2 linked regions of the Macaca mulatta genome follow. The protein of the gene in region 1 interacts with the protein of each later gene in a pairwise test. Links are inferred from orthologs where the notes say so. Each region holds a gene or a part of one and is shown in the gene's direction. Other genes may lie near its edges. The genes, in order: MCM3AP and MCM3.

Region 1 (4,341 bases):
TTTCCAATGTGCACATATTCATTAACGAATCCCGCTTAAAATTGCAAAAATATTGCAGAAGCACTTTGCTTCTCTCTTTTAATTCACTGAGAGCATTAGGAGGGGAAGGGGGTGGCCGCTAGTCACCTTTTTCTTTTCTTTTTTTTTTTTTCTGAGACAGAGTTTCCCTCTTGTTGCCCAGGCTGGAGTGTAATGGTGCGATCTCGGCTCACTGCAACCTCCACCTCAGGGGTTCAAGCGATTCTCCTGCCTCAGCCTCCCAGGTAGCTAGGATTACAGGCACACTGCGCCCCTCCCCCCACACACCCAGCTAATTTTTTGTGTTTTTAGTAGAGGCAGAGTTTCACCATGTTGGCCAGGCTGATCTCGAACTCCTGACCTCAGGTGATCCACCTGCCTTGGGCTCCCAAAGTGCTGGGATTATCAGCATGAGCCATCATGCCCGGCTGTTACCTTTCTTTTTCTGCTGGCTTACCGGTGTAATTGTGGCCTCTGGGTGACGGCCATCGATCAGTGGAGGCTGAATATACTGCTCTCTCTACTTTTGTGTGTATTTGGAAATTTTCAAAATTAAAATTAAAAATCATGTCTGTAATATATATACTTATATGCGCCACAGAGCCTAGCCTATAATATAATTAATACAGGAAATTTAGGCTGGGCGCCGTGGCTCACGCCTGTAATCCCAACACTCTGGGAGGCCGAGGCAGGCAGATCACCTGAGGTCAGGAGTTGAAGAGCAGCCTGGCCAACATGGTGAAACTTCTGTCTCTACTAAAAATACCCCCCCCCAAAAAAATTAACCCACTTTGGGAGGCCAACGTGGGCGGATCACGAGGTCAGGAGATCGAGACCATCCTGGCTAACACGGTGAAACCCCGTCTCTACTACAAATACAAAAAACTAGCAGGGCGCGGTGGCGGGCGCCTGTAGTCCCAGTTACTGGGAGGCTGAGGCAGGAGAATGGCGTAAACCCGGAAGGCGGAGCTTGCAGTGAGCCGAGATCGCGCCACTGCATTCCAGCCTGGGCGACACAGCAAGACTCCGTCTCAAAAAAAAAAAAAAAAAAAATAGCCAGGTGTGGTGGCCCACATCTGTAGTCCCACCTACTGGGGAGGCTGAGGCAAAAGAATCACTTGAAGCAGGCAGGGAGGTTGCAGTGAGCCGAGATCGCACCACTGCACTCCAGCCTGGGTGACAGAGCAAGACTCCGTCTTAATTAAAGAAAAAAAAAAAAGACAGGAAATTTACTCTGGGAAGGTAGGCTAGACAAGAGGAACCCTTTTTTTTTTTTTTTTACCTCATGAAATGGAAAAGAAAGCACATCGGTTGGGACGTTTCTACCTCTGTAGATTCTATTAATGTGCTGAATATTCTTGTTGTCAACACAGATGATCCCCAGGTCAAATTTCTGCACTCCTAAAATCCTCCTTACAATCTCGATCTTACTGCGAAGTGGCGCTCTCCTGATGGGGATGACTCGCTGCAGGTTTCTAATCACCAAACTCATTTCACGAAGAATAACCAGCCCTTTAAAAATGTTTGCAACGGAACCTGGGGTTAAGGTGTAAGAGAAGACCAATCAGTACAAGTGATAACACATTCTGTAAAAATACACATGCACACGCAATCAAATCACTTTATTTGGTGGAACTGATTGAAAAATCTTAAGGTAATTTACATTTACCACAAGGAGGATGCAACAACGAGGGGCTATGGAAGGACGCCGCGGAATCAGGCCGGGACTCCAGGAGGGCGGAGCGGAAGGAGCGGTTCCCAGAGAAGGGACAGGTGCACTGTGCGCGCGGGGCGAGGCGCGCGAGAACGCGGCGGGTGCGGGGGAGGGACGCGGCCGGGGAGGGACGCTGCGGAGGAGGGAACGGGCTGGAATGGGGAGCACAGAATGGGGGACACAGGTAAGCGCTGGGGCCAGGTCCTCTGGGGTCTGGGGCGCCCGCAGACCGACGGGGGTGAATGCGACGCTCTCGCTTGGGAGACTAGAAACCCGCCCAGACGTACCGATGTCTGGACCCGGCAAAAGGCGCGACAGCTGGCGGACCCTCCCGACCGGAAGCCCCGCCGCCGAGCCGGTTGGGGAGAGCGGAACCGGATCGCAGCGGGCGGGGCGGAACACGGTAGTGCCGAGCGAACCGGAAGTCGGTCCGCGGCGTTTCCTGCCCGCGGAGGGCAGCGCTGAGTATCGCGGCAGCGGCCTGTGTTTGCGCCTCTAGTCCTTCCGAGGGGCCCGAGGGCAGCGCGGGCCTCGGGGTCCTGCGGCTAGACGGTGAGCGTGGGGGCTGGGCCGGCGCCGGGGGCGCCGTTTCCTTCCCCCGCGCACGTCCGCGCGCCCGGGCCTCCACATCGTCGCTAACGGAGCGTTGCGGCGCCGGCGGCCCCTGGCGAGCCCGGGGCAGTACAGTGACCAGGCCGGCCCGGGCCCACCGCGCGGCCTCCGCCGTTTCGGGCTGTGCTGGGTGGAAGATTAGGCTCCCCGGCACGCCGTCCCCGCCGAGAGGCCGCAGCTCCGTGGCAGCGCCCTCGCCCTTCCAGCCGGCTCGAGGGTGGTCGCCAGGGCGCGATAAAGGAATGTGAGACAGTGGTTAGCGCTCCAGCCGCTCCGAGGGAAGCCAGGCAGCGTTACGCTGAGTTCTCCGGCTGTAGAGATTGGAGGAAGACAGGAGAAATTCGTCTCTAAGCTGTAAGGTGGAACAGCATTTATCTTCTTACTACCAATGGAGGTTTTTCATGAATTTACTAACTCAGTAAAAAGAGTCGGCTTTCTTTTCTTATTCGGCTTTCTTTTCTTTTAATCTTAAAGGGATCACGCTTTAAATCTCTGTAACAAAGTAATTATTTGTACCACTCTCTACTCCACCCTCCAACAAAATAACCTGTTGGCTCTCGGAAAATAATAGCCCTTTGCCTGCCTTTGAAATAGTTATCTTTTAGTGTGACAGTGTTCAAAAATTCTTTTCTTAGTCTTGTAGCAGAACATAGCTGTGATGATCTGAATTTTTGTCTTTCAGCGTGTTCTGAAGACGAAGGGGAGCTCCCTAGTGCTACGGGGCTGTTTCAGGAAGCCAGTTAATTTTGCACACGTAATACTTATTACCTTCTAATAATTGGAACAGAAGATGAACCCAACTAATCCTTTCAGTGGGCAGCAGCCTAGTGCTTTTTCAGCGTCTTCTAGTAATGTAGGAACACTTCCATCTAAGTCGCCATTTCGATTTGGTCAACCTTCTCTTTTTGGACAAAACAGTACCTTATCTGGGAAGAGCTCGGGATTTTCACAGGTGTCCAGCTTTCCAGCGTCTTCCGGAGTAAGTCATTCCTCTTCAGTGCAAACATTAGGGTTCACCCAATCCTCAAGTGTTGGACCCTTTTCTGGACTTGAGCACACTTCCACCTTTGTGGCTACCTCTGGGCCTTCAAGTTCATCTGTGCTGGGAAACCCAGGATTTAGTTTTAAATCACCCACCAGTGTTGGGGCTTTCCCAAGCACCTCTGCTTTTGGACAAGAAGCTGGAGAAATAGTGAACTCTGGTTTTGGGAAAACAGAATTCAGCTTTAAACCTCTGGAAAATGCAGTGTTCAAACCAATACTGGGGGCTGAATCTGAGCCAGAGAAAACCCAGAGCCAAATTGCTTCTGGGTTTTTCACGTTTTCCCACCCAATTAGTAGTGCACCTGGAGGCCTGGCCCCATTCTCTTTTCCTCAAGTAACAAGTAGTTCAGCTACCAATTCAAATTTTACCTTTTCAAAACCTGTTAGTAGTAATAATTCATTATCTGCCTTTACCCCTGCTTTGTCAAACCAAAATGTAGAGGAAGAGAAGAGAGGACCTAAGTCAATATTTGGAAGTTCTAGTAATAGCTTCAGCAGCTTCCCTGTGTCATCTGCGGTTTTGGGCGAACCTTTCCAGGCTAGCAAAGCAGGTGTCAGGCAGGGGTGTGAAGAAGCTGTTTCCCAGGTGGAACCACTTCCCAGCCTAATGAAAGGAATGAAAAGGAAGGAGGATCAGGATCGCTCCCCAAGGAGACATGGCCACGAGACAGCAGAAGATTTGGATCCTCTGTCCCGGGGTGATCATCCTCCGGACAAACGACCTGTCCGCCTGAATCGACCCCGGGGAGGTACTTTATTTGGTCGGACGATACAGGATGTTTTCAAAAGCAATAAGGAAGTATGTCGTCTGGGCAACAAGGAGGCCAAAAAGGAAATTGGATTTGTTGAGTCTGGAGAAAGTGACCACATGGCTATCCCAGGAGGGAGTCAGTCTGTCCTGGCACCTTCCCGGATGCCAGGTGTGAATAAAGAGGAAGAAACTGAAAGTAGAG
Region 2 (3,016 bases), on another chromosome or scaffold:
CTTACTTCAAGAAGGTGAGGATTCAGATGGCAGGGTATGAGAGGCTCTTCTGAATAAATTACAGATGCATGGGCTTCCCAGCCTTCCATGACTGACAGCTACATTTGGATCGTCAACAGAAAGCAGTATTTGTCTTCCAGTGATCAGTCTGCCTCACTCTTTCCTCTGGAACACTCTGTGATTCTCAACCTTGACTGTACCTGAGAATCAGATGGAAAGCTTTAAAATGCTGATTCCAGGGCTCCTAGAGATTCTGGTTTAGTTGATGTGCTATACTTTCAGTCGGCTGCTTCTCTGTGTACTCCTACTTCCTTTGCATCTTAGAAAAAAAGTAGGTGTTTTCAAAAGGGCTACCTTGGTAATCTTCCTTGTCCCTCTGTACCCTTTCCCCTTGGTAGTCTCTTCAAATGTCCCATTGGCACCTCAGAAGCTCATGTTTAAAGTTGAACTCTCAAACTTGCCTCATCCTGTTTCCCAATTTCTGTTTGTGACATTGCATCTCTGTCATTTTAGATATTAAGCCTCAAAGCTTAGACTCCCTTTTCCTAGTTGCCCACTCCCGCCCCCGTCTGGTGAATTTTAGTTTTGGGGTTGAGTTGTGAGTCTGATAAAGTCTTCCTCACTTTTTGCTAGGTTAAGGGTTGTCTCGGATTTCAATTAGACACCTGATTTATAAGGAAATAGATTGTTTTCCACTTTACTATTATGTGCTAGACATTTGTTTCTTTATTCAGTAAACATTTATTGAGTACCTACTATATAAACAGCATATAACGTACTTCCCAGCATTTTAAAAAGGTGGGTAGCAGTCTCTACTTCTGCCCCTGGTCCTGGGACTTAGGGATAAGAGGAGCTAGGTAAACCATTGGAAACATGGAAGTCATTCCTGCTTATGGTGCAGAAGAGACTCGGAGTTCTCGATGCAGTTCCCCTGCATCAGTGACCCCTCCAGCCCACCCACACTTGCCTTGGTCCTAGGTTCTGGAGAAGGAGAAGAAACGTAAGAAGCGAAGTGAGGATGAATCAGAGACAGAAGATGAAGAGGAGAAAAGCCAAGAGGACCAGGAGCAGAAGAGGAAGAGGTAAGGTGGGGCAAGCAAATGAGATTAAAAAGTTGGTGGCCAAAAAGTTGGTGGCTCACACTTGTAATCCCAGCACTTTGGTAGGCTGAGACGGGTGGGTCACTTGAGTCCAGGAGTTTGAGACCAGCCTGGAAAATATGGCAAAACTCTGTCTCTACAAAAAGTAGAAAAATAGCCGGGCGTGGTGGCGGATACCTGTGGTCCCAGCTGCTCGGTAGGCTGGGGTCGGAGGATTGCTTGAGCCTGGGAGGCAGAGGTTGCAGTGAACCGGGATCACGCCACTGCACTCCAGCCTGGGTGACAGAGAGAGATCCCATCTGAAAACAACAAAAAAAGTTCCAGTGGGACTGGGGAGAGGAGTAGAGGGTAGAGGGTGGAATGAGCGCTGCTTATTGATGTCAGGTTGTTCATGGAGGGTGTTCCTAGACCTGTACGGTTTGTGGATGAAGATAACCTGGGTAAAAGAGAGACAAAGAGAGTGAGACCTTCTCATGTGCTTTTGACCCCTCTACTGAAGAAATGCTAAATAGTAGGAACAGCAACCCAACCACTGAGGGTTTTGAATATATACTTAAAAATTCTAAGGGAAAAACCTTCATGCTTATGGTTGAACTTATAAGGGTGAGTGATGTGGGAAAGAGCATTGGAAGCAGCGCCTGTTTGTGTTCTAGTCTGGGGACTTGGTCGTGTTTAGAACAAGCAGCAGTTTGCAAAGGCCTAAGCCTAGTGCTTCACTTTGACTTAGTGGTTCTGTTTCCTTTTCTCCATAGTTAGAAGCACAACATGGGGCTCCCTTGCCTTTCTGTCTCCAAACTTTCTCTCTCTCTTAACTGCCCTGGGTATTTTAGAAGGAAGACTCGCCAGCCAGATGCCAAAGATGGGGATTCATACGACCCCTATGACTTCAGTGACACAGAGGAGGAAATGCCTCAAGGTGAGTGAGCGCCCCTTAGTGATGAAGGAGGTTGTTCCTGTGACTCTTGGACTTTTCCAGTTGCTCTGTGCACTTTAGTTTCTTGTGGACTCTTGTTTGTTTGGCTCCCTGTTTGGGGCCTATGTCCAAGAGGTTTGTCCCAAGAGAGCTTCAGGGGAAACCCACAGTAAAAGCTTTGGAAGAAGCTTTGCTCTATTGTGTACACCTCCTTGATGAACTGTGCTGTGCTATACCTGGTATAAGCATTTCACATAATATGTATTTTGAGGGTCTCCTGCCTCACTAATTCCTTCATCATCCAGTGAAGATTTCCCTTTGTCCTAATTGTTCTGCCTGGCCCCATAAGAACCCTAGGAAATAGGAGTGTTCAGCAGGCTGAGTGAGGGATTGGGAGTGGAGATGAGTTCCCTAGTGTTTGTGGAAATGGCTTCACCTTGCTAATCTTCCCCATCTCTACAAACATCAACCCGCTGAAGTACACACTCCAAAGACAGCAGACTCACAGGAGACCAAGGAATCCCAGAAAGTGGAGTTAAGTGAATCCAGGTGAGTAGGGATGTTGCTCCTGCCCCTTCAAGAATTCTGTATCACTGAGGAAGGGACTTTTTTCCCTTGGAGAGGGTGGGAAAAAAACTGCTGGTTATCAGTAAAACACAAAGCTGGAGACCCGCGGCTTTTAACATTTTATATTCTCATTTAATTTCAAACTTACTGAAAAGTTACGAGAAAAGCATGAAGAACTTCTGGATGTCCTTTACCCGGAATCTTCAGTTGTTTAAATTTTACCGTTTGCTTTATTAATAATTCTCTCTCTAAGAATTTGAATTATGTCTGTGTGGGGTTAGGAAGAAGAGTTTTACAACAAGTACAACTTACGTCTTACTGTAACCTCAGATTCTTCTTGGTGGGATAGATATATTTTGGCCATTTGTTTTTGAAATGAATTTTTACCACCAGGGTTTTAGGAGACATTTTTATCTATGAATTTTGTTTACTGAAC

The links.
Region 2: the proteins of MCM3AP (region 1) and MCM3 interact in a two-hybrid assay, tested with the Homo sapiens proteins (2 studies listed by BioGRID). The link is inferred for Macaca mulatta from reciprocal best matches to the Homo sapiens genes MCM3AP and MCM3.

The regions. Positions count from the first base shown.
Region 1 is NC_133408.1:1,296,095-1,300,435, forward strand, and holds the start of MCM3AP (germinal-center associated nuclear protein), read left to right. Parts: upstream 1-1,510; 5' UTR 1,511-1,791; exon of another isoform or gene 1,792-1,916; intron 1,917-2,019; exon of another isoform or gene 2,020-2,104; intron 2,105-2,164; exon of another isoform or gene 2,165-2,703; intron 2,704-3,026; 5' UTR 3,027-3,134; coding exon 3,135-4,341. Other genes in the region: endoribonuclease YbeY, read right to left, coding at 1,301-1,510.
Region 2 is NC_133409.1:130,045,574-130,048,589, forward strand, and holds part of MCM3 (DNA replication licensing factor MCM3), read left to right. Parts: coding exon 1-14; intron 15-978; coding exon 979-1,082; intron 1,083-1,930; coding exon 1,931-2,016; intron 2,017-2,492; coding exon 2,493-2,562; intron 2,563-3,016. UniProt on the Homo sapiens protein: Acts as a component of the MCM2-7 complex (MCM complex) which is the replicative helicase essential for 'once per cell cycle' DNA replication initiation and elongation in eukaryotic cells.